Drosophila melanogaster: one gene and its partners. The protein of the gene in region 1 interacts with the protein of each later gene in a pairwise test. Each region holds a gene or a part of one and is shown in the gene's direction. Other genes may lie near its edges.

Region 1 (8,389 bases):
GTGCGAGCACTGCCAGATGTTCTTCAGCTAAGGCTTTACACAATCCAGCACTTATAAAGTCGCGGTGCTTGTTAAATTTTAAGTTCTGAAGCAGTACAAATTTGGGACGACACAATGTCAAATGTATTACCAACCAGCTCCGTTTCACTTATGTCCTGTAACTGCTTTCTTTCCGGCCGATAGCCTGGATGAGATCCTGGCACAGGAGACTGGGCTGGGCTGCTCGGTCTGACATCAGGTTACTGTGTTCTTTTAACAGCACAATCAGGTTGTCTGTGAGTGCATTATACAGATCCACAAATAGCTGCCAACTGCCGCCGTGGCTGATCAAGTACTTGATGTCTACATCCAACATGCTGCCAAGAAGGCAATCCAGGGACTCTCCTGTGAGAGGGACCGTACGATTCCCGGCCAGATTGCGCTGGGCCTCTAGGAGTCATAGGGCATGACCAGAATATGCCAAGTCTTTGGGTTCCGGTTGAAATGGTCATTAAGGATCTAAAGAGAACATTATTAACTAGGGAAGGAGAATAAGGTACTGGGGAAGACTCACCGCTCCCTTCACGCTGCTCAACGAGCATTTGGCAAAGAGCCAAAAGAGTTAGCACATTCTGGAGCGCCGTGTGCTGCGTTTGCGACGCAGGGCGTGCCATTTGCTCCTCTTGTGAGGAAAGACGGCGCAGGAGCAGTAGGAAATCCTCGTTAGTCTTAAAGACAATGATCAGATATGTCGGAAGCATTCATCTATCCCTAGTTCGTCTAGGCATGGAGTTTTTAAGGTCAGATGCAGCCCCACAAAAGGACGAACAGTTTGCGAATTGTACTCTTCTTACAGCTTTTCAGGCCCCTGAGAGCGTCGAATCTTAGTCCGATCCTTATTATCCTTGCGAAATTCAACGCGCCAAGCATTCGAATAGAAGCTTGGTGCTGGACCGCAGGGCATCCTGGAGTAGCTCAGAGCTGAGACCATGGGCAGACAATCTTGAACAGAAATGGCCGACCCCCGCAGACCACGAAAGATGAAGAGGGTCCTTGGTATGGAAAGCATTGTCCCACTTGCACCAACTCACCTACTCTCCTTCCTGTAATGGAGCGGGTGGGAGATCGGAGAGACAGCGCCGCTCAGAGTGCAGTTATGTCGGGCTTGTTGTTGCTCAATGCAAAGATGAGTTCAGTTTAAACCGTTAAACACGAGAACAAAAAATGGAGCAAAGCAGCGACCACAAATTTACGAGGATAACCCCACGAAGAGATTGGCAATAAACTGCTACAGTGTTCAGAAATTCGCAATTGCAAGTAAGAATCGATTGGAAACTAATCGATTTTGTGATTTACTGATTTTGGCATTTTGAATAGGGTCAAGTCAGCTTGTTTCCCGCGATCGGTCTCACTATTTTACTGTCATTGCAATTTGGAAATTTTAAGGGTTCTGATTGCACTTCTCGCTGACCTCAAACAAATCAAGTAAATATTCTTTTTTTTTTGCTGTTATATGTCACGTTCCATCGAAGCTGATGGAAGAGCGGCGTCCTTGAGGTGTCTAACCCTGAACTGGAAATCTCCGTTTTGCTATTTATTTTGCAGAGAAGACAATCAAAATGCTTTTCGATGGCGCAACCGGCAATGGGCACGGTCAGGGCCAGAATACCCTGAATCCATTGGGGCCAGGCCAGGAGGAGCCCGCCCTATGCGAGCAGTACTATCTGCTGGGCGATGGTTCCATCATTCTGCGCAACCATTCCATCGACTTGTCGAATCCGCCCCTGAAATCGCGCTGCTGCCAGCTCCCAACACTCATCCACGACATATGCGTCAACTGCGTGATGGATCTCTGCGAGGAGTGTGGCTACTCCTGCGGCGAGTGCGCCAAGTTTATTTGCCGCAACTGCGTGACTTTATTGTGAGTTAAGTCCCAGAAGGAAGAAGCATCCCCCTAGGGAAACCCGTTAGTTTAAAAATCAATCGACCATCATCTTATTTCCAGTGGTAATCGAATTGAAGAAGAGGAGGCTCCGCTGTGCGAGCACTGCCAGATGTTCCTCAGCTAGGGCATCAAACAATCAAGCAAATGTCAAATGTATTACGTTTTAAAGAATATAGAGCTATATAGTATTTAACATTAAGCAAAAATCTTTGATCTATTCTTTGGAATGCTAGAAAACTTAAATCATGACCTTGAGTTGGCCAATGGCGTTTCCTTAACGTAAAACACACCTTTTCGAACAGCGTCGTGGGCCTTTCGGTTGCTACCATTTGGCGAATGGTGAAGATAAGCAGGAAGGGTGCGACTTTTCACGGCCAGTGCCTGCGTGGCGCGCACTGTGGCCATTACAGTGGCCAGTTTCAGACCCAAGTCCGCCAAACCATCCACCTCCGTTTCACTTATGTCCTGTGTCAGCTTTCTTTCCGCGCGATAGCTAATGATGGCCTGGATTAGATCCTGCCACAGGACACTGAGCTAGGCTGATCGGGGTGACATCAGGTTACTGTGTTGTGCTGTTACAATCAGGTTGTCTGTGCTGCCAACTGCCGCCGTGGCTGATCAAGTGCTTGATGTCTACATCCAACATGCTGCCAAAAAGGCAATCCAGGGACTCTCCTGTGAGAGGGACCGTACGATTCCCAGCCAGATTGCGCTGGGCCTCTAGGAGTCATAGGGCATGACCAGAATATGCCAAGTCTTTGGGTTCCGGTTGAAATGGTCATTAAGCATCTAAAGAGAACATTATGGAACGAGAATAAGGTACTGGGGAAGACTCACCGCTCCCTTCACGCTGCTCAACGAGCATTTGGCAAAGAGAGCCAAAAGGGTTAGCACATTTTGGAGCGCCATGTGCTGCGTTTGCGACGCAGGGCGTGCCACTTACTCCACTTGTGAGGAGAGACGGCGCAGGAGCAGTAGGAAATCCTCGTTAGTCTTATAGCCAAGGATCAGCTTAATGGCCGGCTCCAGACAATCCAGTGCTGAACTGGCAAATGTGTCGCCCACCTCAATGTCTGTATTCAATTGCCTCCAATAGCTGCTTAGCACGAACTCTATCTCATCCGGATCCAAATGCAAACGTTGACGATGGGTGAGCGCCACATTCAGCAAGCGTGTCGCATTAGCATCGCGATAGTTCAACTAAAAATATAGCAACATTGTTGTTTGGTTTGTTCAATACTTATAAACACGAAAAGCACCCACCGAGTGACAAGAGGACGAACAGTTTTCGAATTGTTCTCTTCTAACAGCTTTTCAGGCTCCTGAGAGCGGCGAACCATCTCTGCCAGCTGCTTGATCACAGAACCTACAAACTCTGCATCCCAGTAGTCTTGGCTCTTAGTCCGATCCTTGTTATCCTTGCGAAGTTCAACGCACTCCTGATAGCATCTGATCAGGCTGCCATAGCATTCGAATAGAAGCTTGTTGCTGGACCGCAGGGCATCCTGGAGCAGCTCAGAGCTGAGAACCATGGGCAGACAATCTTGAACAGAAATGGGCGACCCCCGCGGACCACGAAAGATGAAGAGGGTCCTTGGTATGTAAAGCATTGTCCCACTTGCACCAACTCACCTACTCCTACTTCCTGTAATGGAGCGGGTGGTAGATCGGAGAGGAAGCGCCGCTCAGAGTGCAGTTATGTCGGGCTTGTTGTTGCTCAATGCAAAGATGAGTTCAGTTTAAACCGTTAAACACGAGAACAAAAAATGGAGCAAAGCAGCGACCACAAATTTACGGGGATAACCCCACGAAGAGATTGGCAATAAACTGCTACAGTGTTCAGAAATTCGCAATTGCAAGTAAGAATCGATTGGCAAATTAATCGATTTTGTGATTTACTGATTTTGGCATTTTGAATGGGGTCAAGTCAGCTTGTTTCCCGCGATCGGTCTCACTATTTTACTGTCATTGCAATTTGGAAATTTTAAGGGTTCTGATTGCACTTCTCGCTGACCTCAAACAAATCAAGTAAATATTCTTTTTTTTTTGCTGTTATATGTCACGTTCCATCGAAGCTGATGGAAGAGCGGCGTCCTTGAGGTGTCTAACCCTGAACTGGAAATCTCCGTTTTGCTATTTATTTTGCAGAGAAGACAATCAAAATGCTTTTCGATGGCGAAACCGGCAATGGGCAAGGTCAGGGCCAGAATACCCTGAATCCATTGGGGCCAGGCCAGGAGGAGCCCGCCCTATGCGAGCAGTACTATCTGCTGGGCGATGGTTCCATCATTCTGCGCAACCATTCCATCGACTTGTCGAATCCGCCCCTGAAATCGCGCTGCTGCCAGCTCCCAACACTCATCCACGACATATGCGTCAACTGCGTGATGGATCTCTGCGAGGAGTGTGGCTACTCCTGCGGCGAGTGCGCCAAGTTTATTTGCCGCAACTGCGTGACTTTATTGTGAGTTAAGTCCCAGAAGGAAGAAGCATCCCCCTAGGGAAACCCGTTAGTTTAAAAATCAATCGACCATCATCTTATTTCCAGTGGTAATCGAATTGAAGAAGAGGAGGATCCGCTGTGCGAGCACTGCCAGATGTTCCTCAGCTAGGGCATCAAACAATCAAGCAAATGTCAAATGTATTACGTTTTAAAGAATATAGAGCTATATAGTATTTAACATTAGGCAAAAATCTTTGATCTATTCTTCGTTAGCGCTGTGCGAGTACTGCCAGATGTTCGGCTTCACACAAACAAGCACTCAGCAAGGTCACAGTGCTTGTTAAATTTTAAGTTCTGAAGCAGTACAAATTTTGGACAACTCAATCATTTTTATATTTCTATATTTAAAGAGTTGGTATTTCATATAAATATAAAAAAAAATTTACAGGTGTACTCGTTCCTTGTCTCTACCTACACCTTGCCCCTAAATTTGTGGTACTTCTCGTGATCCTTCACCAATCCTTCGTACATCCTGGCGCCGGCCTCATTGCTGGAGCGTAGGATGAAGTGTCCGGCACGGTGATCGCAAATACCGATCAGTTCATGGCACACGCGCACTATGTGGACCTTGATCTGGGGAAAATCGTATTATTAGTCAAAGTAAGCCCACTATAAAAATATATATACTACGTGGACGCATAGAATAAAAAAATGGCAATTATTACTCCTTAAAGAATATAGAACCATATACTTCTTAACACGAAACAAAAATCGTTGATCTATTCTTCGGAATGCTGCGAAACTTGAATTTTGACTTCGACTTGGCCAATGGCGTTCCCTTAACGTAAAACACACCTTTTCGAACAGCGTCGTGGGCCTTTCGGTTGCTACCATTTGGCGAATGGTGAAGATAAGCAGGAAGGGTGCGACTCTCTTCACGGCCAGTGCCTGCGTGGCGCGCACTGTGGCCATTACAGTAGCCAGTTTCAGACCCAAGTCCGCCAAACCATCCAGCTCCGTTTCACTTATGTCCTGTGTCTGCTTTCTTTCCGCCCGATAGCCAACGACGGCCTGGATGAGATCCTGGCAAAGGACACTGAGCTGGGCTGCTCGGTCTGACATCAGGTTACTGTGTTGTTTTAACAGCACAATCAGGTTGTCTGTGAGTGCACTATACAGATCCACAAATTGTTGCCAACTGCCGCCGTGGCTGATCAAGTGCTTGATGTCTATATCCAACATGCTGCTAAGAAGGCAATCCAGGGACTCTCCTGTGAGAGGGACCGTACGATTCCCAGCCAGATTGCGCTGGGCCTCCAGGAGTCGAAGGGCATGACCAGAATATGCCAAGTCTTTGGGTTCCGGTAGACGCAGTGCAACACTCACACTGATCACCTCGAAATGCTCATTAAGCATCTAAAGAGAACATTATTAACTATGGAACGAGGACAAGGTGCTGGAGAAGACTCACCGCTCCCTTCACGCTGCTCAACGAGCATTTGGCAAAGAGAGCCAAAAGGGTTAGCACATTCTGGAGCGCCGTGTGCTCCGTTTGCGACGCAGGGCGTGCCATTTGCTCCACTTGTGAGGAAAGACGGTGCAGGAGCAGTAGGAAATCCTCGTTAGTCTTATAGCCAATGATCAGCTTAATGGCCGGCTCCAGACAATCCAGTGCTGAACTGGAAAATGTGTCGCCCACCTCAATGTCTGTATTCAATTGCCTCCAATAGCTGCTTAGCACGAACTCTATCTCATCCGGATCCAAATGCAAACGTTGACGATGGGTGAGCGCCACATTCAGCAAGCGTGTCGCATTAGCATCGCGATAGTTCAACTAAAAATATAGCAATATTGTTGTTTGGTTTGTTCAATACTTATAAACACGAAAAGCACCCACCGAGTGACCAATGTATATCTTACAGATACGTCGAAAGTTTTCATCTATGAGTTTCGGCTGCCTCTGCTTTCCATTGTCCTCCAACTCCTGAATCTTCGCTGTCTCTGGATCCCTATTTTTCTTCTTGTGGTCTACTTTTGGCTCAGCCTTCGTTTTTTCTGAACTCTCCGACTCATTTCTCTTCTTCTGCTCTTCCCGCTCCCACCTGACTACGCTATTTATGCAATTGCTCACGTAAGTTGCATAACCTGATAGCGTGCTATCCACGAACTCCTTATAAGCAGACGCCTCCTTTTTCTTGGAGCGAAACTTGTGAGTCACCATTTCGCCATAGATCTGAATAAGTGGCTGTAGCTGGCCTTGCAATCGCCTGCCCTGAGCTCCAGTTACACTGCTAAGTGTTTCGATGGCCAGCAGCAAAAGACGACGCTCTTCCGCTGGCAATTTGTTTAACGCAGCCAGTTGATCCTTAAAAAAGCCCGTGCAACTTGCAAGAAATGCTTCACTACCGGCACCCTGTCGGCGAATGCAACGTGCAAAAAGTGTTTCGTAGAAGCTCCAACCCACCGTCGAGCTGGTGGGGATAAGGCAAAGCAGTTCGCTTAGCCGCGGGAAGTAGCTGCATATGGGAAGCGGATGGCCGAAATGCATAAGATCTGCAAGCAAGTAGTTTATCCAACAAATGAGTTTGAAGTATAAATTCGATTAAATTATTTACCTATTAGTAGCTCCAGAATCTGATTGGCGTTCTCCTCCTGATGGCTAAGACTGAGATCCCTGTATAGAACAAAGATCACCAGCCAAAGGCGCGATCGAATGTTACGGGGCAACTGAGCCAATGGAAGGCCCTGCAGAGTCTTGACCAGTACCTGGGCTGGGGGCAAATGCAAGTCAATTTCCACCGACGCGTTATCCCTTAGGAATTGTGTCAGCGAGTTCTCCTCCACCTGCTCTTCCAGTTTCAGTTTCACCAATAGTGACCCCTTGGCCTTCGCTTCTTTGGCCTCTGCTCCATATTCCTTAAGCAGCTGCAATGTAAGGATCTCAATGCTCTCCGAATCATTTAGATGGGGTTCCAAGCTTTGATTATGTTTCCTTTGATGCAAACGGAGCTGCTTCTGTGGTCTGGAAAGCCGAAAGAGTTGATACGGTGGGACTAACTCAGCCAGGGCATCCGAACAATTGGCTCCCCTTTGATCCTTCAGCAACCAACCACTCTCAACAAGCTGCAGCTCCAAACGCTGCAATCTCAGCCGGCAGCAGTTCTTGCCAAAGTTGTACACCCTTTGCTGGATCAACGTCCACTCGGCGGTGGGCAGGAAACCCCTCAGCTGGACTGGCCGCTGGCTGGCGGGGAAACCATCTGGCCAGTAGTACGCCAATAGAAGCTCAAAACCGCTGGCTCTCTCAGTGCACTCCAGAAAGGCATTCATAAGCCGGCGGTTGTGCTCTTGGCGTAGTAAAAGCCGTCCGAACTGCTCCAGGACCTGGCAAGTGTGCTGTAGTTGTTGCTCCACTTGCAGCTGATAAAGTTGCACTTGCTCAGCCAGTCGAGTGCCGTTTAAGTATTGGCAAAGGAGCGCAGCATGCAGTTCCCGAGCAAAGTCCAGGTTTTCGGGCAGCACTTCTTTCGGCTGATCCTCCTCAAGCAGCTCCGCGAAGGAATGCAACAGACTTTTCCAAATCACCAGAGATGGTTTGCTCATCAGGTTGCTAATTAAACGAGTGAAAGCCACACCGGCTGAGTGGCTTGGCCACGTTTGGCACAGCTGCTTGAAAGCGTCATTGGCCGAAGGAGCTGTGGCTAAAGGGGTTCTATTAAAAATTATGCCTAGAAAGCGCTCCTCCAACTGATGGCCTTCAGCTTCAATAATTTTAGAGTCCTGGATGCGTCGCTTCTTAGCTTCATTAGGGGGAACATCCAAAGTGTACTTTCCCAACCATGCTCCTAGGACCTTGAGGAGATTGATGATGAACCGCTCTGCGCGACTAAGACGGCGAAACATGTCCAGCAGTAGAATAAGGTACTCCGAATACAGCTCCTCCACTTGGGCATTCTCCTTGGGAGTCGTGAGCATCCAAACGGTTATCTGGTAAACACTCTGCTCCAGCAGGAGAGGATTAT
Region 2 (7,609 bases), on another chromosome or scaffold:
TAAATAAAACTACAAGCAAACAGCAAAGATCCCGCCGACTGGCCGATGAGACGAGTTGAATCAATCCAGAGCGAATGCGATGCGATAGGCCCGCTCATCTGTAATCCGCACACTTCTCAGAGCGATCATCGATCCTCGGGAGCAGTTCAGAGACTAGTTGATGAGATGTGGTGGTAGCGTGGCCGTATGTAGAATATTCTATGCATATTGTTGTATGTTCCGAGGCGAGCCTAGTCTAAGTTCGATTTCTCTGTACCCCTCCTAATTGTGTCCTTTAAAATGCGCCACATTCTATTTCCCAAATCCAGCCCATGGAGGTCTACGTCGACGATGAGGCCAAGCTGACGCTGCACGGACTGCAGCAGCACTACGTCAATCTGAAGGAGAACGAGAAGAACAAGAAACTGTTCGAACTGCTCGACGTGCTCGAGTTCAATCAGGTAGGTCATTCGGTGGTCTTAACTTATATTTACCACTTACTTGATTATCCCTGTCATAGGTGGTCATCTTTGTGAAGTCTGTGCAACGTTGCGTGGCTCTGTCGCAGCTGCTGACGGAGCAGAACTTCCCCGCCATCGGCATCCATCGTGGGATGACCCAGGAGGAGCGTCTGAATCGCTACCAGCAGTTCAAGGACTTCCAGAAGCGCATTCTGGTGGCCACCAATCTCTTTGGCCGCGGCATGGACATCGAGCGTGTGAACATCGTGTTCAACTACGACATGCCCGAGGATTCCGACACCTACTTGCATCGCGTGGCCCGTGCCGGTCGCTTCGGCACCAAGGGACTGGCAATCACATTCGTTTCGGACGAGAACGACGCCAAGATACTTAACGAAGTACAGGATCGTTTCGATGTGAACATCAGTGAGCTGCCCGAGGAAATCGATCTCTCTACATACAGTAAGTTGCAATGATGAGTAATCCCCAGCCACCAGCAGTGCTAACTTGATTTTCTTTTCCAGTTGAGGGACGCTAGAGCTCGAAGGTGCATGTTAATCGGAACAAGACTATGCACTTCGAATAGATACAAACCTAAAACCTTTTTTAAAACTCTACTTTATAACTAAATAAAAACTATTCAGACAATGTGTTGACAAACAAAAACGGAATTATAAGTAATGTATTTATTTTGGGAATGGATTCTAAAACCCACTTGTTTCACATTTCCGTTTAAACTATTTTATTTGTGAAAATTTCTGGGGCATATTCCCTTAAATAACTTAGCAATATTAATGTGTACAATATTATAAATCAACTCACAATAAAATGTCCAAAAAAAATAACAAACTCGCATATGCTTTAATGGTGAAATGGTAATTGGGAACTCGCTGGGCATAGTTTAGTGTGTCCGTTTCAGGACATGCGCAATGGCCAGGAACTTCCGGCAGCTGCATTGCGACAGGAAGAGAAGGGGTTGTGGGGTGGAGGTACGAAAAACTGGGGACGAAAAACAACGAGGACGTCCAAACAATGAGAGAAAATGCACGCTTGCGAAAATGCTGCTAAAAAAGTATGTGAAAACGCGGCGTAAGCTGAAGATTCTACTCCTGCTGGCCATCGTCGCCCTGCTGGTCATCACCATCATAGTGCTGGGCTCCAGCGGACGCAATGCGGCCATCGAACTGCTGCTGGACGAGCGATTCATCGCACGCGCCTACAGGCCCGGGGATCAGCCCCAAGTGGCGGAGAAGCCGCCGCCGGTGGCCGTCGCGCTGCTCCAGCCGCAGCGGGAGAACGGAGTGATTGTGCCCGAGAAGTATGACGAGCAGAAGATCAAGGAGCGCATCATTCAGAGCAAAATCGATCTGATGAAGCAGCAGCAGCAGCGGGACCACGAGGCGGAGCAGTCTGTAAGTTTCCAGTTCAGTCCAAGAAGGTGGCCAATCTTAGTCCTTAAATCTTAAAAATGTACACTTTGTTCAGTCGCGTACCACTTTGGATGTGGTGATCAGTGCAGTGCACATATTCTACACTGCCCCGGTGCCGTGGTACAAGTCGAAGAAGCCGCCTCCGCCGCCAGCGGAGCACCCAAACGATGTGCCACTGACCACGCCGCGACCAGTGCGAATCCTAAACACCGCCTTCTATCCGGCACTGGGTCTGTACAAGCCCAGTGGCTCGCTGCTGGCCCAGCATTTCGAGAACATACGCAGCTGTGGCATCGGTGTGCTCATCCTGAGCTTCTCCGGTGGCAAGCCCGCGGAGGCGGCACTGCTGCATCAGATCTTGGAACTGGCACCGCAGCACAATCTTAGCGTTACCTTTGAGCTCAGTGTGGCCGGGAATCAGAGCGTGGAGTTTGTGCGCCAGCAGCTGCAGGAGATTGCCACATACACCAGCCTAGCTGGATTCTACAAGGTGTGGAGTCAGTCGAGAGGTGTCTCCCTGCCGGTTCTCTACGTGAGCAATGCCTACAAGTTGAGTGATAGTCTGGGAAGGCTGTTGTGTCGATCGCCTTCGCTGGTGGAACCGGATGGTCTGCGGAGAATTCTGGATGCCTTATTCATTGGACACATAAGGTGGGGTGCGCCTTAGATTATCCTAGGTGATTCTATATATCCTTTCGTTTCTCTCCAGGCTCAAAAGCCATGCCGATGTCCTGCGGAGGTTGTGCTTCGATGGCTTCTACAGCAAACTGCCCAGCAATGGAGCTGTCTTCGCCAGCACTTGGAAGAACTGGTCGTATCTGAAGTCATTTGCGCTGTCCTACAAGATGCTCTTTGTGCCCACGGTGGGTCCGGGATTCGCGGAGAGGAACAAGTTTCCGCGACACGGAGACATCCAGCGGCATCGCAGCAATGGACGGGTGAAGGAGCAGCCATCAACTGGAGTGCCAGAACAGGCTACTAATACTAATATCATTTGATCTTGCAGTACTATGGCGTGGCCTGGCGGACAGCCATTCTCAACCACGTGGGCTTCATCAACATAGCCAGCTACAACAACTGGCCGGATGGCAGCCAGATCGAGGAGGTGATGCCACGCGCCGGCTTCCTCGACTACAATCCGGGCTCGAGAACGAAATATCTGGATCTCACGGCCCATTGGGTGGGCAACTTTCTGAAGACGCGACAGGAGGCGGCGGCAGCAGCCTCGCCAGCATCGCCGCCCAACTGTTACGAGCTGCTCAATGGAACCATATGCTAGGAGCGCACCAAGTGGGACTAGTTAGGAGCGCAGCGGAGATAATCCTAGTTACTTTAGAAGCAATAGCAACGATTGCAGGCCACTCAATTACTTTCCAACTGTTAAGAAGTCTTCTGCTGCACACATTTACACACTGCATAAATATATCGTTTTGATAGTGATATTTTTGAAAACGCGCGCCCAAATGTCGAGTTTTTTGGCGGGAAATGCAACGCACTTCATTCCAATTACATAAGTAATTTAAGTACTAAACGCCAATCAAAAAAAGAGAATTTTGAGAAGAGGTTTGAGTTGGTTTCGCTGCCAAATCACTCGACACAGAATATATATGAAAGGAAAGCAATTACAATTGATATCAATTAATAATGTAACTCTTTTTATTACATCTATAATATAAAATAGCTTTCAATTATCGTAGACTAAACGAGTAGAGGAGAACAATATCATAACTTAATGCCATGCCATATTATGTAGACACCAAAGGAAATTATCTATGTTATAACGATATAAACTAGACACTTGTTAAACGATTGGTACTTAACAAATTTTAACTTTATTACCAGTACGACATATAAATACTTTATCTAAGCTTTAATAGTTTAGTGCCCACAATATTGCTGTTTTATTTATACATATATATTTTTATATGTATAAGGGTTGCCATCCTTTCAACACTGATTTTTTTTGTTGGAGCTGTCATCAGTTCGTTTCTGGAAGAGATTAAGGCAGCAACATGCCATCGCCCAAGAAAAGAAGTGTGGATAAAGCGGATGGCAAGAAGGGCAAGGGTCAAGGAGCAGGCGGCGTGAAGGGATGCTGCTGCAAGCGGTCGCAGTGCATCAAGAACTACTGCGACTGCTATCAGTCCATGGCCATCTGCACCAAGTTCTGTCGATGCGTTGGTATGATTTCATTTCTATAAGCATAAATATACCCTACGGCACTCATATACCCTGTAATGCAGGCTGCAGGAACACAGAGGTGCGCGAGTTGGTGGACCCCAACTCCGTGGCCAAGAATTCCAGCGCTGTGAAAAGGCAGAAGGCGGCTGCGATGAGCGCCAAGGCAGCAGCCGCAGCTGCCAAGGCGGGCATCGATGTCCAGGGCAAGGCGCTCCAGGTGGCGGCATCCACTTTGGCGTTGCCCGGCAAGGCGCTAATGACGCCGCCAAAGTATACCCTAGTGGCTGGCAAACCACCGATGGCTAGTAGTCACATTAACCCCATACCCATCTCACGACCCATAGCGACTGCCGCCACTCCAGCCAGGGCAGTGAAGCAACCGGCGGAACCTCCGATGCCCGTCAATCTGATCATTCCGGTGCGGCACGACGATCGCAGGGATCGGAATCTCTTCGTGCAGCCGGTGAACGCGGCTCTGCTGGAGTGCATGCTCATCCAGGCCACGGAAGCCGAACAGTTGGGCCTGAACGAGCTCCAAGTGTGCCAGCTGGTGCTCGAAGAGTTTATGCGCGGCTACAAGAACATTTTGGAGAAAATATGCGAGTACAGCAAGGATTATTATTAACTCAAAACGTCAAAATGGCTTATTAAATAGTTTCAAGGTCAAGAATAACTTGATTCCATTTTTGGCTTATAGATACATACATATGTACATTTTATAATGCAAAATAATACAATATTCGATTTGTGTAAAACTAAATAATTGAGAAATTCAGTTTGCAAGGTCGCAAAAATTGAAACTACCAATCGGGTGGCTGGAAAATCAGCTCGGTGACAAGCATATCGCAGCTGGTTTTCCTTTGGGACAAACGGGAGGCAGTCGGCGTGGTCTTGTGCCTGTCCAGCGGCAGCTCACTGTCACTGTCGCTCTCCGACTCGTGCTCCTCATGGGACTCGACTTCGCCCTCCTCCATACGTCGTCGCTTGCTTCTGCTCGCTCTGGGAGCTTTCGCCGATGATCGAAACTGCCGCCAAAATTGCGCGGGCTGGGCGAACTCAATGTAGTTGGGGAATCTCATGGCCATCGCTCGGCAAAAGGATTCAAAGTTGTGACTAAGCTCGGGACTCATGACGGGCACTATGTTGCGATGGGTTTCTTCCACAAAGCGAAGACAGCGTTCCAGTTGCTTGAGCTGCAAAGGAATTTGAACATTTAGCTCAAGGGGGAAAAGTTAATCAGTTAGATTTACATACTGGCTCCTCGGACATGTCCGCCTTTCGCCCTCTTCCTCTGCTTGTTGCCTCGCCTGCTTCTGGTCTAGTTGGTGGAGTTGCTGGCTCCGATGACGCATCTTCACCTTCATCGATATTGTCGCCCTCGCCACGAGAGTTCTTCTCTTTACCCATTCCCTTGGTGCAATAGCAAATGCGGCGCATGATGAAGAGCATATCCTGAACCACAATCAGGGCGTCGGGATTGTTGATGAATGCTTGGTCTCTGGTCTTTTCTACAAGAAGTATATATATCTTAGCATATCTACTTGAAGTATGTATAAAACAACTTTACTCACCTGCCAGCAGTTTTAGTTGGCCGAAGTAAAGCAACAGCACGTTCTCGTCCATCGAGGACATTATGTGATTGTAGAGCAACCTACGTTTCTTGGCCATTTGTGAACCCTTCAGAGGTGACTTGTAGTTGCCATTCGTTCTCACGCCCCTCAAAATAGCCTGGTCATTCAGATCGAAGGGGCACTCCTTCAGGCAGTGATCGAATAACATTTTGTTGTACAACTTTTTGTAGCGAGTGAAGAAGGCATCCGCCTCCCTGGCCACCTCGGCACTTTCGTCCACCAGGGCAGCCAGCATGGATATGAGAATTGGACCCTTGAGCTTAATATTCCCGGACAGAATCACATCCTTGACGCAGCGAAAGGTGCGCACCCGGGTCATGGCGAATTTCGATTGTAGTTTCGACAAGATCGCCTGAAAGTTACTCTCTAGAATTGATGGATGCTTCTTGCCGAGATCGTTGAGCGCTATTAAAGTGGTATTGATGATCTGAGGTCTGTCGTTTTTCGTCAGTATGGTTATGTACAGCTTGGATGCACTATTGGCCAGATGATTATCTCGCAATGACAAACGACCGGCTATCACAATCATCCAGTTGGTCATGCGCTCGTTATCCGAATCGAATTCCGATTCACAGAGCTTGGTACACTCCTGCAGATATTTAAACACAATGCTCACGATCCTATTGTCCACATCCTGGGGCACCATCACAATTAGCTCGGTATAGGCGCCCAGCAAGCACTGCAGCCGGGCATATTCCTCCTGAAAATTTTGAGCACTGCTCAGAATGCCCTCGACGAGATCTTCCAGCAAACTGAGCTGCCAGTATGGCATCTCGGAGGCAATCGTAGGTGACTGGCTGGTAGAAAGGTGATGGATCTGGTTGAGCAAATTGACGGCACTCGAGATGATGCCCAACCAAATGCTGCCCGTGCGCAGGGCATTTAGTAGTTTTTGGAATAGCTGATTGAGTGCCGGCTTGGAGAAGTTCCTCAGGCAGCCAGTGATCAGCTGCAGCGCCAGAAATTGATTGGACTTCATGTTGTAGGAGGAGAGGCCATTGAAAATGCCAATCAGCGCGTCCATGTTGTTGGTGATGCGACTGGACAGGAATAGCAGCAATCCCCAGGCATCGGTAGCCATGGACGTGGATAGGTGGGAGATAATCACATTCACCAGTCTGGGTCTGCAAACATCAAAGGAGACTCTTATAATCCTTGAGATTCTTAGCAATGATATAACCTACGTTACTATGGTTTCCCGTTCCAGTAAAACAGCGAATCTCTCTTGAAGATAAGCTCTTGGTTGAGTCATCAGCAGGGTGCTGATGATTCGCCAGGGCATAAAGTGTTTCGCTTCGTTTGAATACTCCAGGGGCTGAATGTTTTTCAAGACCATTCTATCGAAGCTCTGCAAGCAAGTTACAAAGTTTAGTATATTAATAAACTTTCAAAGTGTTTACCTACCGAAATGGCCAGTTTCTGGAGCGCCACATCCTCATCGCTCATTAGGCAAGCCCAAATCCGGCAGTACACACAAATCAGGGCGAAACAATTGGAGTAGGCCTCCAGCAGGGTTTCTATGGTCTCCAGTGCAGATTTCCTCACCGAAGACAAGCGATCCACGGCCAGCAAGGAGGTTTCCTTCACAAAATTCGTGTTATAGATGATCAGGGGATTGACTAGGACCAGTCTTTCGAGTAGAGCTATGCCAGCGGAACGCGCCAAACCATTATCCGCGGCCAGAAAACGCTGGTACACCGTTTGGGGCAAGTTCTTCACCTCCGTCTCCAGTTGCTCATGTCCCTGGAAACTAAAGGCATACTGCACAATTCCGGGCTTCTCGAAACGCAGCTCGTTTTGCTGGGCAGAGGGTTCAGCCAAAGCTTCCACATCAGTATCATCGAACTGAACGAAACGAATGCTTTCCTGCAGAATTTTTTTCGTCATCGGGGATCCTTGTCTCAGCGCCAGGATGAGCACTTGACAC
Region 3 (7,966 bases), on another chromosome or scaffold:
AAGGTAACGTATATGGATTCTGAGTAACTTTATTCGCTGCACTCACAAACTATTTAAAGATAACGTCAATTAAACTTTTTTTGGCTGCAGCTAATTAATATACTTTTTTCAATATAGTTCATTGATCATTAGCTCATCAAATGCTGTTGGTTCCCATGACGTTGTTTACACCATTTTAATTGAATTTCAGTTCAGCTTAACCATGTAAAAAAACAACTATTTTGGTAAGCTTATCAATGTTGTCAAAACCAAATCAAATTAGCACACGGGAGATACTAAGTCCACTACGTATGTTACATGAGATAGGAAATAATCAGTTTGTTTTTTTTCAATAATATTTCCTATTTCAATTACCAATATCATAATGCAAACAAGAAAGAAGCTGAAGAGTCAAACTTTTAACGAAAGCATATTTTGTGCAACAAAAACCTTATGCACTTTTGAATTTTTCTCATTGTTCCGAAAAGAAAATTTCATTTGCGTCAATGAAGACTGTAGCCGAATTCAACTTTGGCCCCTTTCAATGGAAGTCAAATTGAATCCCAAACTAACTCGATAGCCAAATGGAAAACACTCTCTCCGATGTGTAGAGTATAATAATCAGGCTAACACACTAAAAGGGGAGAAGAACGGGTTTGGGGAGGATTTCGGTATAGAGATGCCAACTTTATTTAACTGTTTGCCAAGCTGTCAAGCTCTAGCTAACTGCCAGCACACACATACACACACACACTTGCAGGCAGGCAAACACAACGGTATTGCAGGTGATCCTGGTATTGGTTTGGTTTTGGCTGTGAGTTCTTTGGAGGGTGGTGCAGTGGGTGGAGCAGTGGGTGGTGGCTCAAAAGGGAAACGCGGTACATTTGCGCTCAACGTGTTTGCCTTTTGGAACGTTTCACGCTTCGATTGCAACGCAGGCAAAGGCAGTAAGTGGGATCGGAAGGGGGTAGAGGGTGAACTCATTTTAATCTTACTGCAAAAATTATGTGTAGACTTTAACGACTATCTGGTTCCTCACAACCAACTGCGGGGACTAAGCTGTTAGGCATTGTTAAAGATTATCTATAATATATATATATATATATATATGTGGTTTGTGGTTTTAAGAGAATGTAAATAATAATTCATTCGTAGGCAATGCTAAATTTAAGATATTATACATTTACCAATTTGTTATTTTCACAAGTTGTGTATACCTTGCATTCCACAATTGTACAGGTCCAAAGACCCAAACTGCAAAACCAACATTCAAGCGTACACTGAGTGGGAGAAAAAGAGATAGGCACTGGGCTGTGTGTGTGGAAATGCAAAAATTAAATTTTAAATATTTATAAAGTACAGCCTGTTGGGGGGAGTGTGGGGGATAGAGACCGAAATGAATAAAGAGGGAGGGGTGGTAGGCCAATAAAAGGAATTTGCAATTGGTCTGATTGGCTTTTAATCGCAGCAGACAGTTTTTAATAAATATGCATAACCGTTTGCGCTTCCAATTGGAATACAGTGGTAGATCTCATCGATGGACACGTAAAGGATCCTGTCATTAATAAAAGCGATGTGAGAATGCGGGAAGGGATTAGGTGGAATCTTCCAAAAGACCTGAGAGTAAACATAATTATTAATGGCTTGTAAATTTGGAATAGCTCAAAAATATGTGGAAAGTTTAAAAGTAGTCCAAATAAATAATATTTCTTTTCACGCAATCAAGGTCTGCAATAACCTTTGCATTCAATAACCTTCAAATGCATTCAAATTTGATTTACTGATGCAACAAATATGTTTATAAATTTTACTTATAGTGTCAAAACATTTATATTTTAAGTACCGTGTAATTTCTCAATCCAAGATTGACTGTACAGTTGAGGAAAAAAGACAAAGACGGCTAGCCTTTTCATAGTTCACTGTATGCCGAATGTGTGGGGCGTTTCGATGCAACTTCTTGCGGAAACGGATGTTGCATTGCATAGCGGAAGACGAGAGCCGAAAGAGTCGAGGAAAATTTATGATTTTGCCATAAAATCCTGTTGATATGTGGATGCAAGGAAGGCTCCTTGCCCACGTTCGATTTTCTCACCTCACAGCTGTTATTTATGCGCATATGTATGCGGCGCGTTGCACGTAGAATTTGCACAGACAGAGCCTCGGATACGGATACTCAGATACTCGGATACACACACATATACGCAGACACTCGAACACAGATACACAGTTGCGGATACGCAATGCACACATCCTGCCGGCACTGCACATTGTTGCGATTGATGCACATAAGAAATGCAATCGGGGCAACTGCAATTTCGTAAATCGAAGGAAAAATTTCCTAGCCGCATCAACATCGCATTTCGTCTCCGACAGAGAGGCAATCAAACATGGCAGGAAAACTGCAGCTGAAAAACAGTTGTTGACTGTTTGCCGGCATCGCCTATATCTCCATCATCATGATGTTGATGATCATCATCATCTTCACCTCGCAACAGGACACAACATCGCAACGTCATCATCGCGTGGAGGAACAAGTGAAGGAGGACATATCCTCGTCATCGTCACTTTTATGCTGCTGTTTTGTCGCATCCACTGTGCTTATAAGCATCCGCTCGTCACATGCGTGCAAGCGTATCGGGGATCTACACAGCGAGAAAACGGATTTAGCTTATAATTTTTAGTAATATACATTTTGAATAATATATACCTAATTAGTCATTCCATCAGATAAACGGAAACTGATAATATTGTCTCTCCCCTTAAAATATATTAATATTAATATAAAAATATTAAAGGCATCGTGCTTTAATATTTTTACGCATTTTTTCTCGCGGTGTCTGGGCTCGTATCTGAACGTACTCCGGCAAAGGCTTGTTTATTTGCTGGCAAAATTGTGAAATAATGTGCTGCAATCAATTCCCAATACAGCGCTCCGTGACCTCTAGCCCCTCTTCACATGCGGCACTCCCTCACTTTTCCCTTTGGAAAAGCGGGAGAAAGCGGGAAAAACGGTGTGCAGTGAAGTTATTTGAAGTGGCAGCTGCCACAGAGCGAACTGCAACTGCCACAACTGCATTGGTTGCCCCACGCCTCTTATCATCACTTGATTTACCGCCCCCACTTCCCCCATTTTCCACGTTTTCGTCCGTATCGGAGGTAACATGTTTGTGATGAATATGTTTACATCAATAACAAAAACTCCACTATGGCGCATCAATAATGAAGCCTTGCTCTGACTCCGCTTTACAAAACCCCCTATCATTCCATCCAACGGGCGGCAAAACCCCATTTTGAACACGTCAAAATGAGTTTACTTTGTGGTTTCGATGGCTGCGATTGGAAACTGCTCCCGCGGATTATGAAGTATCTCGATTGGAGTACCGAATACATTCATCCACACACAAACACATCGAGTTCTTGACATCCTCAACACAAAAACAACAGTAGCAATGGCAACAGGGATTACTTCGAGATTGCAGCAGGAAAACCACTTGATATTTTGAAAGTGAATCCGTCCACAGTCTGATCGGAGATTTGGTATTATCCGAGATTAGGGGTTGGGTATTTGCTCGATACGGAGACAAGGACTTAATTTATAATTAATAAACATGTTTGGCTTAATTTACCAGAGAATAATGATGGAGTAACAATGAATTTGAAACTCCACTAAGCAGCATTTAAACAACATACGTAAACATACAAATTTAATATGTATGGTAACAATAAATAAAGTAATTTTAAAATCGAATATAAGAAGATAATATGTGACTTGAAGCAGGCATACCTTCTACTACATAATTAGATCCCAATTTAAAATGTTAAACAGAGTAATTTGAGTGCAGAGTTCATAGAGAGATTTATGATAATAAATTAAAAATAAAATAAAAAATTGTACGCGAATGTAATGAAGTTATACAATAATCTTCCAAGAAAAGGAGCCCACGATTTTTATATATTTTTTGACGATGACAATGTATTTTATCAGTTAAATATTATAAGCCATATAGGGCACACACAAGTTTACACTAATACATTTTAGTTCGGTAATTAGTTCCTTTCAAAGGCCAAAACTACACATAGCTACAAACAAGAATGGATGGGGACCAAGTAAAGGGCATCCTGAAGTCGGGAAACAATAGTGCGCAATTTAGCCTGAAGGCAGCCAAATTTGATGAGGTCAACATACTGGCCACGTTCCACCCGGCTGGTAAGGACTACGGCCACATGATCATCGACGAACCAAAGACACCCTTCGTCTTTGAGGAGGATTTGCCAAAGGAGTTGGATACAAATGCCCTGATCGAAAAGTTGAGACACACATCAAAGTCAGAAATGCCGGCATTTGGCATCGAAGGAGACTCAGAAGAATCCTCGGCGGATGAGGACTTTCCCGAGTCTGTAGAGGAAAAAGTGCGTAGAATGGAGTTTGAGAGGCGGCGAAAAGTGCATTACAAGGAGTTCTATTCGGTTCCACTGGCTCGACGTCTTATAGCCGACGAGTTTGCCGAGTTGACCAGTTCAGAGTTTAATATTCACTGCGAAGGGGGAATGGAATCTTGTGAAGCGTGCAGTGAAAACAATCAACTCGACGGCGAAGCAAGCAACTTGACGCAAACAAAATACTCATATTCTGAAAGTCAATCCGAATACAGGATATCAGATCATTCTGAGCCTGAACCAGGTTTCTCCCCCAGCCATCACTGCTACCAAAAACTGAAGGCCGAGCTCTTTAGCAAAGCAGAGCCGGAAGAATTGGCCTCTTTAACGCACTTGCATCGAATGCCATCGGTCAACGATGATGAACCAAGTCGCGAGCCTCGCGTCCCATACCCTTCGGTTGTTCCGACTCAAACCCAAAATCTACATGAACACAAGAGTTCACTGAAAATAACGTCCGAGAAGCCTACTCCTGCTCGTATATGTAAATCCAACCCTGATAATCGTCCTGGCACTTCTAAGAAAGAGACCCGCTGAAATCATTCAGTAGTGTTAAAAATTGCAAAGTTATATTAAAGAAACTTGTAATTATAACAAACCATTGGGGATTAAAACTTGTGTATGCATTTGACAGAAAGTATCTATTACACTACATCTATCTACACTCTTTTGTAGAAGAAGCTTTTAACAAATGTTGCCTAATGGTTTTTACTCAAGGATAAATATCTTTAATTACTCAATCACAAAAATTGTGTCCAATAACTTTCGGTCATTCCACTCCTGTTCGTGCCTCGTCTAAGTTGCTAAGGAAATTATAGGAAAATTCTAAGTACCACTGGCCAGGCTAATTGCTGAGATGTTGATATGATTAACCCACTAACCTTCATTTGCTCCCCATCTATTAATACTTTGCTTCCGAAAGTTCACTGGTCTGGGGAATATTTAATTACGCAATGTCCTAACGGTAATCATCATTCGGCCGAAGCTAGATACAAGGATACACAGCCAGAGTTTAACTTATTTTGGCATTTTGTTTTGTGATTGAAAATTCCTTTTGACAGTCTAGGCAACCGAAGAGTTTTCCTTCCGGCCAATCGCTTTCATTCTGATTTCATGCTCTGGCCATTCCAATTGTGAAGAAAACTGATTTCTGCCCTTTAAGATAATTCCTCGGATATTACAACTGCAGAATCACTTGAAATAATTATGCAAAATGTTTAATTTAGCCATTAAATGCCGTAGCAGTTCAGTTTTATTATTATTAAGCTTCGGTCAATTCGCTTGCAAATGAAAGGACAACACAAAACCGGATGGTGGTTGGGGGAAGTGTCATGAATATTTATGGGGCCATGTTATCATTGAATAGATTTCAATTAGATTTATTTGCAAATACTTTCGGAGAAGAAAATGAGTAAAGGCAAATACGTTAAGTAACGTTGATCTTGTAAATAAAACTTAAACGTTAAGGTCAAGCATTTTATTTAGAGATGTTTGGTCTTAGCACAGATTAGGCATTTCTCTGTCAATATGTAAACTATGGCTGTACAATTGTATTGTACCATTTGAGAACTTATTTCAATATTGACAATTTATTAAATGCATTTACCATTAAGGAAAGCGCCCATTATTTTCCCACCTTCAGCGAAGCTTTCCATTTGCAAGACATTTAATTGTTGATCCTTAACTCAAGGCTTTTAAGTGGATTTAAACCGAAAAACACTTAAATTGGACAAACAACATGGATGGCTTAACCCGTTGGCAGCATCGTTAGCCCCGTGAAGCCATTTAATGCGAACTTGCCATTTGGTCAGAAGTGATGTCCGAAGTGAAATTTAAGTTGGCTGCAATTGATGGTCGCAGCATCTCTGTCTCCGTCCGTTTTTCCATCTTCTCCGGACTCTCCAGTCCGGTTCTTCTTGGCATCTCCGTCTCCGGCTTGGTCTCCGTAACAATTGCCGTGTACATTTCATTAAGTGCATAAGCCCGTCCGGCTGTCAGCTCTCCTTCGCTCCCTTTCTTCTCTATCTTTCCTCCTTTCGACCACTTTCTCCTTCCTTGCCACTTCTGGCTGTTCCGTTCGTGTGGAGCGTTTTTAAGCCGGAAAATTATTTTTAATGCTATTTACACTCACAAATGAAAATGCAAGCGCAAATAAAGGCCGCCAGCAGTCACGAACTGGCCAACAACTTAACTGGCATAAATGCTGGTGGCCAAGAAAAAAGGAATATACATACATATATATTTTGCAAGTTGGCTGGCAGATGAAGCTATATAAGCGACAAGATTCCCTAACAATTTTACAATACAACTTAATCAAATTTTTGGAATATTTTACTGTACAAATTCTAACCATACACGTAAATGATTACATTTTAGAGATTAGGTCCTTTTAAGTTCAGTTAAAAGCAGTGATCTTAAGATGAATCGTATTTATTTTACATATAATAATACAAATTTAACGTAAAGAATCATTTTTGAAATCATTTCACTTAACCGAAACTATTCAACCCACGAAGCTACAGGGCATTAAAAAAAACACTGAAACTGGTTGAAAAGTGAGGCCAAGAAAAAGGAGCTGCTTTAAAGCAGCTGCCCACTTTACAGACAGACCTCGACCTGAACGCGTGTCGCTAAAAAAGTTCGGCTAAATATTTGCGAAAGCATTTTCGCTATTTGCGATGGCATTTCGTGTGGCATGCGGCATCTCCGCTGCGCTCCTTTCTCCATTCCGTACACAATCCTCATTCCGTCATCTCACGTTGCAAGTGCAGCACGCAAGAAAATCCCAGGGGGATGGGCTTTTTTGCCAGGGAAAATGGGGATTGAGCTGCACTTGCTTCGCTGGGGCATCAATTTTCATTTTGATAAATTATAAAATGGCCCATCGCTGGCACCCAGAGCACCAAGCACTGAACACCGAGCACATCCTCGGCCGAGGAATAAATGGATTGCCTGGCGATGGCCAACGTTAACCCATGGCAGCAGCCTTGAAAATTGAATGCCAATGGATTTTCGAGAGGAGACAACAAAGCAGCTTAGATGGCTAAATGAATGGGGTATATACTGTAAGGAGGGGTTCTGGTTGCCACTTTATTGATGCATCAATCATCGTAGCTCATAGCTGTTTAAAACCACTTTTGCTGCGGTTTATTGAATTAATGGATGGCCTGACTTCTTAAGCTTTAAGGCAAATTGGGCCTTGTTATTATGACTGAAACTATGCATTATTATAATATTTATTTTCTTATTTAGATACTTACACTGCTATAAGAACGATTTAAAAACATCAACGGGTTAAAAGCCAGCAGAAAGTGGTCCGGATTTTTTTTTTTAGATACGGCGTATCATCATTAGGAGCTGGATTTTGGCTCTCCCTTTAGTTTTCTTTTCTCCCTGTCTCTGTCATGTAAATATAGTGTTGCAAATGTGGCCAGCAAGTGACACTGTTTAATTGATTGCCTCTCAAATTTTCTCTTTTTCCACCAAACTAGCTGGAAAAGCTAATAAAGATTTATGTAGTTTTAAATTTGTTGTTTTTTTTTTTGGTGCA

Evidence for each region. Proteins that work in one complex are often made in the same cells at the same time.
Region 2: the proteins of CG3176 (region 1) and tomb interact in a two-hybrid assay, tested with the Drosophila melanogaster proteins (one large-scale study listed by BioGRID).
Region 3: the proteins of CG3176 (region 1) and CG6380 interact in a two-hybrid assay, tested with the Drosophila melanogaster proteins (one large-scale study listed by BioGRID).

The regions. Positions count from the first base shown.
Region 1 is NC_004354.4:478,046-486,434, forward strand, and holds CG3176 (uncharacterized protein), read left to right. Parts: upstream 1-3,892; 5' UTR 3,893-3,952; intron 3,953-4,072; 5' UTR 4,073-4,086; coding exon 4,087-4,388; coding exon of another isoform or gene 4,389-4,392; exon of another isoform or gene 4,393-4,472; coding exon 4,473-4,536; 3' UTR 4,537-4,723; downstream 4,724-8,389. Other genes in the region: CG13373 (uncharacterized protein), read left to right, coding at 1-31; CG32817 (uncharacterized protein), read left to right, coding at 1,599-1,900, 1,985-2,048; CG18273 (uncharacterized protein), read right to left, coding at 4,839-5,000, 5,223-5,783, 5,839-6,201, 6,265-6,920, 6,983-8,389.
Region 2 is NT_033779.5:5,533,000-5,540,608, reverse strand, and holds tomb (tombola), read left to right. Parts: upstream 1-3,850; 5' UTR 3,851-3,882; coding exon 3,883-4,051; intron 4,052-4,113; coding exon 4,114-4,676; 3' UTR 4,677-4,748; downstream 4,749-7,609. Other genes in the region: Hel25E (helicase at 25E), read left to right, coding at 309-440, 500-902, 965-978; CG14015 (uncharacterized protein), read left to right, coding at 1,499-1,852, 1,926-2,521, 2,580-2,808, 2,877-3,149; Cap-D3 (chromosome associated protein D3), read right to left, coding at 4,852-5,244, 5,306-5,559, 5,623-6,806, 6,867-7,030, 7,087-7,609.
Region 3 is NT_033779.5:17,288,214-17,296,179, reverse strand, and holds CG6380 (uncharacterized protein), read left to right. Parts: upstream 1-3,977; 5' UTR 3,978-4,071; coding exon 4,072-4,953; 3' UTR 4,954-5,105; downstream 5,106-7,966.